Linked DNA regions of Nothobranchius furzeri. The protein of the gene in region 1 purifies or fractionates together with the protein of each later gene. This does not show direct contact. Links are inferred from orthologs where the notes say so. Each region holds a gene or a part of one and is shown on either strand. Other genes may lie near its edges.

What was found. The genes of interacting proteins can lie anywhere in the genome.
Region 2: the proteins of card11 (region 1) and malt1 purify together in Homo sapiens (affinity purification with western blotting; 6 studies listed by BioGRID and IntAct, with this or other methods). This does not show direct contact. The link is inferred for Nothobranchius furzeri from reciprocal best matches to the Homo sapiens genes CARD11 and MALT1.

What each region holds. Positions count from the first base shown.
Region 1 is NC_091752.1:65,221,822-65,226,249, forward strand, and holds part of card11 (caspase recruitment domain-containing protein 11), read right to left. Parts: intron 4,235-4,428; exon of another isoform or gene 4,146-4,234; intron 2,386-4,145; exon of another isoform or gene 2,203-2,385; 5' UTR 2,193-2,202; coding exon 2,003-2,192; intron 1,246-2,002; coding exon 1,108-1,245; intron 919-1,107; coding exon 742-918; intron 1-741. UniProt on the Homo sapiens protein: Adapter protein that plays a key role in adaptive immune response by transducing the activation of NF-kappa-B downstream of T-cell receptor (TCR) and B-cell receptor (BCR) engagement.
Region 2 is NC_091757.1:57,800,110-57,805,202, forward strand, and holds the start of malt1 (mucosa-associated lymphoid tissue lymphoma translocation protein 1), read right to left. Parts: upstream 3,161-5,093; 5' UTR 3,024-3,160; coding exon 2,875-3,023; intron 2,494-2,874; coding exon 2,327-2,493; intron 2,062-2,326; coding exon 1,940-2,061; intron 882-1,939; exon of another isoform or gene 792-881; intron 712-791; exon of another isoform or gene 580-711; intron 1-579. UniProt on the Homo sapiens protein: Protease that enhances BCL10-induced activation: acts via formation of CBM complexes that channel adaptive and innate immune signaling downstream of CARD domain-containing proteins (CARD9, CARD11 and CARD14) to activate NF-kappa-B and MAP kinase p38 pathways which stimulate expression of genes encoding pro-inflammatory cytokines and chemokines.

The sequences.
Region 1 (4,428 bases):
CCACAGATACAGCACGAGTAGTAGTGGAGGTAAAATTGTTCAACTGAATTAATGATTTGAACCAATAGTTAATTAATTATGGGGAGAATGAAGTCCGAGACGGCTGACAACTCTCTCATCTTTATTAAGTCTTCCGTTTTCCCAATTTATTGTACTTTCTTGCCTTTTTATGCATGCTCAGAATGTTAGATTCTCTTTTTAGTAATTTCAGTAACAATTTGGTGGCCAACACCTACAGAGTTGTCTCATTTTTAATCCCACAGGAACTAAACAGAGAATTCTGGAAATCAGCAATGCCTATGAGGACGTTTGTTTCCCGTTCTATGATACTCGGAGTTCCTGCAACTCCTTAATTAGTTTTTTGATCAACTAAAAGAAATTACCAGTTTTGTCATTTGCATGACGACTATGTGAAAGGTCCACTGAGCCAAAACCATTCTCCTTATTTACAGCTTAGTTGTTTTATCGTCTGCAGAGATAAACAGAACAGGATGGATTCATAACCACAACAGTATCTTAGTTTCATCAGTTGCATTTTGTGATTAAAATTATTTTTAACTCAACTGTGATGCATGAGGAGGGATAAGCCTGGCCTGTCTGGTGGGGTCGTGGTTTGAAATGGTGTTTTTTTTGTTGTTGTTGTTGTTTGTTTTGTTTCTTGCATTTACTGTAATAAAATGTCCCAACCAGGAAAAAAACATCAGTCAGGAATCACGGCTAGAATGAAAGCAAATATCTTACTTTGCTGGAAGGCTTGAAGCTCCTGATTAGCCAAGGAGAGCTTCTTGCGCTCGTCTTCCAACGTGCGGGTCTTCCTGCTGAGTTCGGCGTTCTGAAGGGTCTTGACTTTGGTGTGCTGCTGCAGTTTCATCACCTCACTCATCAGAAACTGGGTCAGACCCTCTTGACCCTCCTCCACTGATTAGAAGAAACAGGAAACAGAAGGAGAACATGGGTGCATCACAGTTTGTGAGAAATGCACTTCTTAAAGCTAGAAATCTGACCCCAACCATTACCGGCGAGGCACCGCCAACACACGCTGCAACTGGTTTGATCTGTTACATGCTCTTAGATTGCTCTGTCAACCCAAAAGTGTGTGGGCCTTACCTACGATGGTGGAGAAGCATCTTGTGGGCTCTTTCCCAGTCACCACCTTGTACATCTCAGGGTAGTAAAACTCCAGACTCTCCAAGAAAGCCACATAGCCACGCTCTTCTTTAGTGCGAAGGATGTCAAGTAGACGGCCTGGTGCAAGTTTGATTAGTGCACTTTATATTCAGCACAGGAACACATCGAGTTAAAGACCAAGTTCACTTGTTTTTCAACACATTTGCAGCAGTCTCAAGTATAAATTAACGTCCCGTGAATCGATCTCTGTGGGGAAAAGCTCTCACACTCCTGTTTCAGGAAGTAGAAGTGAGCTAGAGGAGAGGTGAGCAGACGACGGTAGGGTTTGGAGACATATATCCCGATATTCTGACATCTCGCCTCTGATTGGCTAACAGATGTACAACTCTTCCACCGCCTTTGTTCGCTCTTCTTTCTGAGCTAAAACACGCAACGCTGATGTGTTGTTTCCTGATATTCTGACACCTCGCTTCTGATTGGCTACTGACGCTACCACCGACTCCGTTTACTGCAACACTGATGTTTTATCTCCACAAACAACACAAACCTGAATGATTTCTGCCATGTTGTGGAGTTGCTAATGCTAACGGTTAGCTTCTATTAGCCATAACACACTCTGCCCTCTCCTTGGCAGGAAATCGACACAGTCTTCCCCGTCGCAAGCTATGATGGGTGAGTCCATGATTGCTAATAGTCAGTATGACATGAATTAGCCTGGGTTTTCAAAGCCGAGCAGTTTTTTTTTTCTATTTTCAATCTGTTTCTCAGTGAACTTTGTCTTTAATTTAATGGCAGAAGTAGTTGAAATAAGTTAAAATCAAACCAGTGTTAACACAGCTTGTTTTAATGCAGGAAAATGGAGATTTCTGCTCACTTGTGCGGTTTGCTTTGGTGTGGAGCAGCAGGGAGTTGAGAATCTCATCCTCATCCTGTTCATCCAGGACTTTGCACTGACGGAGGTAGGGGGTAAGCTTGGCTGGGGTGATGACGCGACACAGCTCGTAGCGCTTACACTCCACTCTGTCCCACAGCACATCCATGTCCTCCACCGTCTCATTCTCCATCCCACACAACCTGAGAGTTGGTAAAGCCACCGATTCATTCAGCAGAATTGTCGTTGCATGCTAATGCTGCACAGGTGCTTCATGTTTACTGGTTTTTCACTCATGCTGAGGAAGTTCTCACTAACCCTTGCCGTTTCTTTTCATTTCCTAACGTTAATGTCCTTTGAGCACAAAAAAATGCACCTACAAAGCTTCCCATAGAAATAGTATTTAATATTTCATACGTCCCAGTTTTTTTGAATTTCATCCTTGGCTTCAGCCCTAACAAAATATAATAAAATATGTGTGTTCCTCAGATTTAACCCCTTTATTGCCAGGTTTATTATCATAACTAGAACTTTGAAAACTGTAAAAAAAAATCTAATCATTTTTGGTGTGTTATGTCCAGATGATCTTTTTTGTGGGTAAGTTGTCACAGCCTTGGAGTGTCACAATGTCATGGTCTGCGTCTGCGTCTCCCCTCATGTGTCTCCTTGTGTTCTCCGTCCCTCACTAGGTTCACCTTTTGTGTCTCCTAGCGCCCTCATGTGTCCTTGTCTGCGTCTTCCTCTTGTGTCTCCTGGTTTTCCCCATTTGCCCCCAGATCTTCAGCCCTCTAGGTTTCCCTCCTCAGGCATCCCCCTCCCAGGTCCTGTGCTCCCTTGGCCCCCTTTAGTCACGTCCCTGTAGTTTTTCTTTCTGTAGTGTTTTCCTGTAGTTTCAGCTTCCCCCTTAGAATATTAGTTATGTTTGCTGCCCTTCTGGTCTTTAGGGTTTTCCCTTAGGTCATTTTCCTTTAGCTACAGCTGTTCATGTTATTAGTCTCTTTAGTGTGTTTTTCCCATCGGTGTTTGAGGTTTTTCTCCCCCCTTAGATTATGTTTCCTACTCTTCTTGTCTTTAGGTTTTATTCTTAGGTCATGTTAGTTTCCTCCCTGATTAGTAACTCAGTTCACCTGGTCTCTCTCTCCCCACACACCTGCAGTTCATCTCCCTCTCATCCTCCCCAAGGTATAAAACCCTGTCTGTGTAACAGTGTTTGGTCAGTCCATTGTTGTCAGCGTTGTTTTGTTCCTTGTCTCTAGCTTTTGTGCTCTATGTGAGCTTTCATTCTCCAGGGTTTCAGGACATTGATTTTTGGCTTCCTGCCCTTTTGGAATTTTTTGTTCTACTTCCTAATAAAGGAATGTTTTCATTTACATCCACTCCTGCCTCATGTTGTTCTGGGTGTCTGCATTTTGGGTCCAAACCTCCTCCTGACTCGCAACGTGACACACAAATAAGCATAAAAATATTTTTGCTCACTTTGTAGTTTTTGTGTGATGTCATATTTTCTAAAATACGCACTGTTAAAGTCCTTTGAGCACAAAAAAATGCATTTACAAAGATAGCCAGTTGAACACTTATTTATAGCACAAGAACAAAGAAAAAGTGTGTGTGTGTGTGTGTGTGTGTGTGTGTGTGTGTGTGTGTGTGTGTGTGTGTGTGTGCATATATCTGTTAATGCTTATAAACTGTTATGGGAATTTGGGGTCATGTTGTAAAGCACTTTGAGTGGCAGTTTGCTTGAGAAGCGCTTTCTACATAAAATCTTATTGAGTGATTGATTGATAACTAATGAGGAGTCTTTCACATCACTGTGGAGATGTTTGTCTCTTACAGAGTTGTTGTAATTCAGCCACACTGGCAGCTCTTCCAGCATGAATGGCCTGTTTAAGGTCAAAGGTCACATGGTCAGATGTTCTGGATGTTCTGGTAGAGAACATACTTTATGGTTGCATCAGCTACGGCACATAAGATAAGATAAGACACATCTTTATTGTCATTGTCACTTTTTCCAGGTGCACTGCAAACGAAGGTGCGGTTGACTCACAAGCATAAAACCAATGAAATCAAAAAAGGGATAAAACCAGAATAAAAAGTCTGCAGGTATATACAGATTGCACATATTTTATAAAAGCTCTGTGCAGCTGACCTGTGGTCAGTGTTCCCATCTGCGTTGGTTATTCAGAAGCTGATCCTAAGACGGCTCTGTATCTTCTCTCAGATGGGAGCACTGCCCGGGCTGTAATGGATCCTCTGAGATGTCTGTTCCTCTCCTGCAGCAACGGGGGGGTGTAGATGTCTTTCAGAGTAGGAAGGGTGCAGCCAATTGTTCTCTCTGCTGCGCTGATGGTCCTGTGGAGTGCTTTCTTTTCCAAGGAAGTACAGCTGCCATTCCATACACACACAGTCCGTTTGTCAGTGTACTCTCTCCG
Region 2 (5,093 bases), on another chromosome or scaffold:
ACACACGCACGCACGCACACACACACACACTGTTTTACTCTCTTTTATTTTCACTTCCCGTTTGGAAGTTTCTTAAAGTGGGATTTTACGCTCGTCATCAATCCTGAGAACATCTTGTAGTAACGAGCCACAAGGACACCATCTGGTCCCGTTTCTTTAGTTGAAGCTATACAAATATGATGTAACACACTTTCACATTCAAAAATGAATGTTAGTACCTAACATGTAGTTTACACAGATATTCAGAACGTGTCCGAAGTCTTTATAAACGTGTTCCTCAGGTTGTGTCTGGATTTGCTGAAACTTTTAGAAACATGACGTTGTTCTGCAGTAGGCAACGTTTTTACACCTCCACTCTCCTCACCTTTAAGGCACAACACGTAGAAAGAAGAAGAAACTACTTTTCATGTAAACACCTCTCAAGATTAAAGTCACGAGGTGCATGAATGTAGCCAAAAGTCTAAAGAGAAATATTCAAATAGGCTCTAAAACCCTGAAGAACGGCTGATAACCACTTTTGAAATACTACAAGAAAGTCTAACCTATGGAAAAGATTGATTTTTGTAAACAGAGCAAATGTAAAGTTCACTTATTTATTATTATGAGCAGCATGAAGAAAACGATGTTGGTGAGGGTGAGAAGCCGTCTGCTTCCAGGCCCTTTTTCTGGAATGCCGTTGCCCTGCTCCGGTGTGCCTGACTTCCTGGTTCTCTTCACACGACACACTTTAATCAAATTATTGAGCAGAAAATCTTTTTTAAAGTTTATATCAAACTGAGTCATTTTCTCACCACAGCAACTGCAGACAAAAACAATCTGACAAGGAGAAAAGCCACCAGATTATCGTGCAGCTTAATCCTAATCTAAACTAATTACTGGCATGGTCTCGGTAAAGGAAGAGGGGAAAGTGAAAGGAAAAGCTCCTGCCTCAGACAAGCACGCATGGATTTGTCCTAAAGCTGCAGAAGACGGGCATCCCAAGTCCAGACAGGTTTACTGTTTGTGTTTCTCTTAAAAGCTGATGAGACGGCACAGTTATGGGAATGTGTGTTTGGTGGTAAAAGCTGCAGATAAAATGTTTAAGAAAATGTAAAAAGATAATAATGTTTGAAAGAAAAAGACCAGAAACGCAGCATAAAGAGGATACAGGGTGTCAAAACTCTTAAAGAAAAGGGCTAAAATGATCAAGTTAAAAGTCTCTGAGGGCCATAAATATGTGATTTTGTTTATAATTAAAAATGTTAAAAATGTCGACCTTCGTCAGCAGCCTGCTGGAGTCAAAATTCCAGAGAACAAAATCAATCAGAGGGCCGCAGACGGCCCCCGGGCCACACTTTGGACATGGCTGATCTAAACAAATACAGTTTTTATGGTGCAAGCATCAACTGTAGATCAGATATTAGTTATTAATCTGATGCATCTAGCAACATATGACAAACTTATGAAAAAGCTAGTCAGACGTAGCTATTATTATTATTTTTTTTTTTTATCCATTTGTTTTCATGCAGCAACGGACAAATATTCATTTAGAAGAGGCTCCAAACAATCTGCAGCATGTTTCTGTTTCCCTACCAGCTGTCTTTGTTTAAGAAGCTCTCAGATGAAAAGTTTTCCTCCTAAATAACCAAAAAATGTACATTTTGTAGAATCACCCAACCATCTTAAAGCTCTGCACATGAGAATGACATCTTGTCACCATCATTCCAGAAAATGCAGCACAGGTTTCCCAGGATATCCTAGCATGCAAACAGTGTATTTCTGTATTACTCCTATTGAAAACCCTAAATTAGACTTGTCCTGCAACACCATATAAAAAACAGTTTTGCTCTAGAAATGCACGGCGTGTGTTTCAGGGCAGCCGATCATCAGCTGACGCTCATGACATTCTCCCAGTTTGAGTCTGAAGATTGTTGTTTGTGTTCTTTCCAAAAACACTCACCTCTTCTCTTGATTTAAACCACCGGTACTGAAGTGGAGATCTTCCCACGGCGTAGCAGCTCAGGCGCAGATTATGGCCACATATGAGAGCAACAGACTGAGGCTGAACGAGGATCTGCAGTACTGTAAAAGGTTGAAACAAACGTTTGATTATAGAGCATCCTGCTTGTTTTTCTCACAATACTTTCATGTGTTGCTGCATTTTCCATCCCAGAAAGATCACCTCGTTTAAGAATATATGCAGTTAGAAAAACCTAAACTGAACATCGCTCTACAGAGCGGCACCTTTTATAAACATGTGTGGCGTGTTGGTGGGACAAACCATGAGCCATGTAGAAGTCAAATAACCTAAAAGCTTGATATTAGGCTGGTGTGGGGTTTCCTGTACCTGGTGGCTTCAGGCACTGCAGAGCCTCTGAGTTGCTCAGAGTTTGGAGGTAGTCCATCAGGTGACCCGTGGTGCATCCTCGCTCTCCCATCAGCCTCAGCAGCATCAGGCTTGGGCTTCCTTCCACCTCCAGAACCCTGAGAGAACACATCTCCATGTCGTCCGAGCTGGAGGATGATGCAGGAAAAGATGCACAATCTTAATGATGTGTCACACTGACTGTTAAACGGATTAGTTCTAATAAAACTAATTTCAAAAACACAAAACGATTAGTTTAGGTGGAATTTGGAATAAAAACACTTTTTAATTAAAAAAAACGTGTATTTTCTAATAGAATACCCAATTTTAGTTCAAATGCACACTCATGTATGGCAAAAAACTGCTGCAAAACACTAAAGTACACACCCTAAACATTTATTTAAGAAACAGCTGATAATTAGGCTCATCGCCTCTATCCAGTAAACATTAATACCTTTTAACTGAATTAATTTATAATAACCTAATAACTTCAGTCTCTTGAAGAGATCCTAACAACTGAATCAACCTACCTTACTTTAAATCTTTTGTCACTGCCAACAATCTCTCCTAACTTTCGCCATCCGTTATTGTTTGATTTATCCAAAACCTCACAAAGTTTCTTCACCACCGACTCTTTCAGTGAGCTGATCTTCGTGGACCTGTCCAGGGAGTCCGCCATGGCAGCCAGCTACAGAGCTGTACACACCGGAGCTACACTTCACTGCAGTCAAGCCTCGATCAATAAACGAAGAAAAACATGAATAAAGTTACACATCAGGTTTGAACTTCCTGGAAGACGTACGAGTGAGCAAAGCACGCCCGTGTTGGATTTCCCCTTGCCAGCTGAAGGTTGTTTCGGACAAGATAGTTGTAGCATTATGTCGACAGGTTGATGTGAATTTTAGCCAACTGCACCTTATTTTAAACGTTTTTACAGCGTTTTTCAGTACAAAGGGCATTTTCCCAAATTTCTACATGTGTTCTCATGTGTACTAGCCACAATATTTGTTAGTTTGAGAAAAGCAGGGCGACGCATCTTTGTTAGCTGCTAATGCTAGCTAGCAAAATATGATAAATAGCAAAAAGTAAAGGTTTTAAATTTGAACGAAAATCCAATTTTTACAAATTTCATACTTTTACGTTATTGTGTCAGACATAATGTTAGAAAAGTTCTTACAAAACATAGTATAAATACTTAAGAATTGTAAAAATGCTTTTAATTTGTCTAGAAGAGGACTATCTTGTACTAGAGCTATCTTGTTTCTTGTGAACTCTTTGGCTGCATGAAGCTCACACGGTGCATTCTCTACCTGCTGTTTAACACAACACCTCTCCCACTCGATCAGAGATGTTCAGGATGTGAAGAAATAAACACTTTAATGGAAGAGACGGCATCCACCCCTCTTTGGATGGAGCAGCTCTTCTGTCTAGGAACATGGCCAATTTTATTAGTCCAGGATCCAGACCAGGACGTAGTTTAACACACCCCTCTGCAGCTTCTGTTACTGTTACCCATAGATATGTATATAAACACATCTATGCTGTTACCCACCCACAATCAAACAGATGAAAAATCAGGCTTAATAGAGCAAATCGTGGGAATCTAAAAAATTAGAACAAATTCGACTGAGCAGAAAACTAGAAAATTTAAATGTGGTTTATTGAACAGTAGATCTGTTTTTTCAAAGACTTTGTTAGTGAATGACTTGAGTTGTGATAATCAGATCACTTTGCTCTCTCTCTCAGAATCCTGGCTGCAGCAAGACGACTTTTAGTATAAATGAGTCTAATTATTTAAATCGTCTCATTGCTCAAAGTACAGGGCGAGGAGAAGTAGCAACCATTTTTCATTCGGACCTATTAATCAACCTTTTACCAATTAATAGTTACAGTTCTTTTAAACATCATATTCTTAGTTTTCCTAATCCAGATTACAAAACTCTAAAACTACTTTTGTTTGTAGTTTTATATTGTCCGCCAGGCCCTAACTCTGTTTTTGGATCAGATGTCAGATTTTTTTTTTATATCTGATTTGGTGCTAAATACTGATAAGGTCATTGTAGTGGGGGATTTTAACATTCATGTGGACATTGAAAATGATAGCCTCAATGTAGCCTTTAGTAATATCTTAGACTCAACTGGTTTTACTCACACATAGCTCCACCCACTCCTGCCAACATGCATTAGACCGTGTGCTGACTTATGGTGTGTGAGAAAATAACAGTAATTCCACACAATTCAATCCTGTTGGACCACTTTTTGATAACCTTTGAGTTTATTATAACTTAGTTCTCTAGACATGAAAGTAAATTTCACTATAGTCTATCTCTATCTGACATCGCTGGAAATTTCAATAAACAGTCCAAACTGAAACGTAACATGCTCAACTTGAAGTATCTGAACCATAATAGAGGGATTTACATTTCAATGGTGGTGGAAACAAAACCCATTGCACACTGCTGCCAACTAGCGGTCGGCATTTGAATTACACCAAAAGAAAAGAAAATACACTAATGTTTGCATGTAAATTCTTCCAAAAACTAGTGTTTATTTTGCAGATGTTAATAGATGTTAGTAAACATAAAAATAGTGTGTGTGTGTGTGTGTGTGTGTGTGTGTGTGTGTGTGTGTGTGTGTGTGTGTGTGTGTGTGTGTGTGTGTGCGCTCTGTCTTCTCCATCCCCAGTGAGTCGTGGTGGATGGCTGCTTATACTGAGCCAGGATTCTCTGGAGGTTTCTTCCTGTTAAAA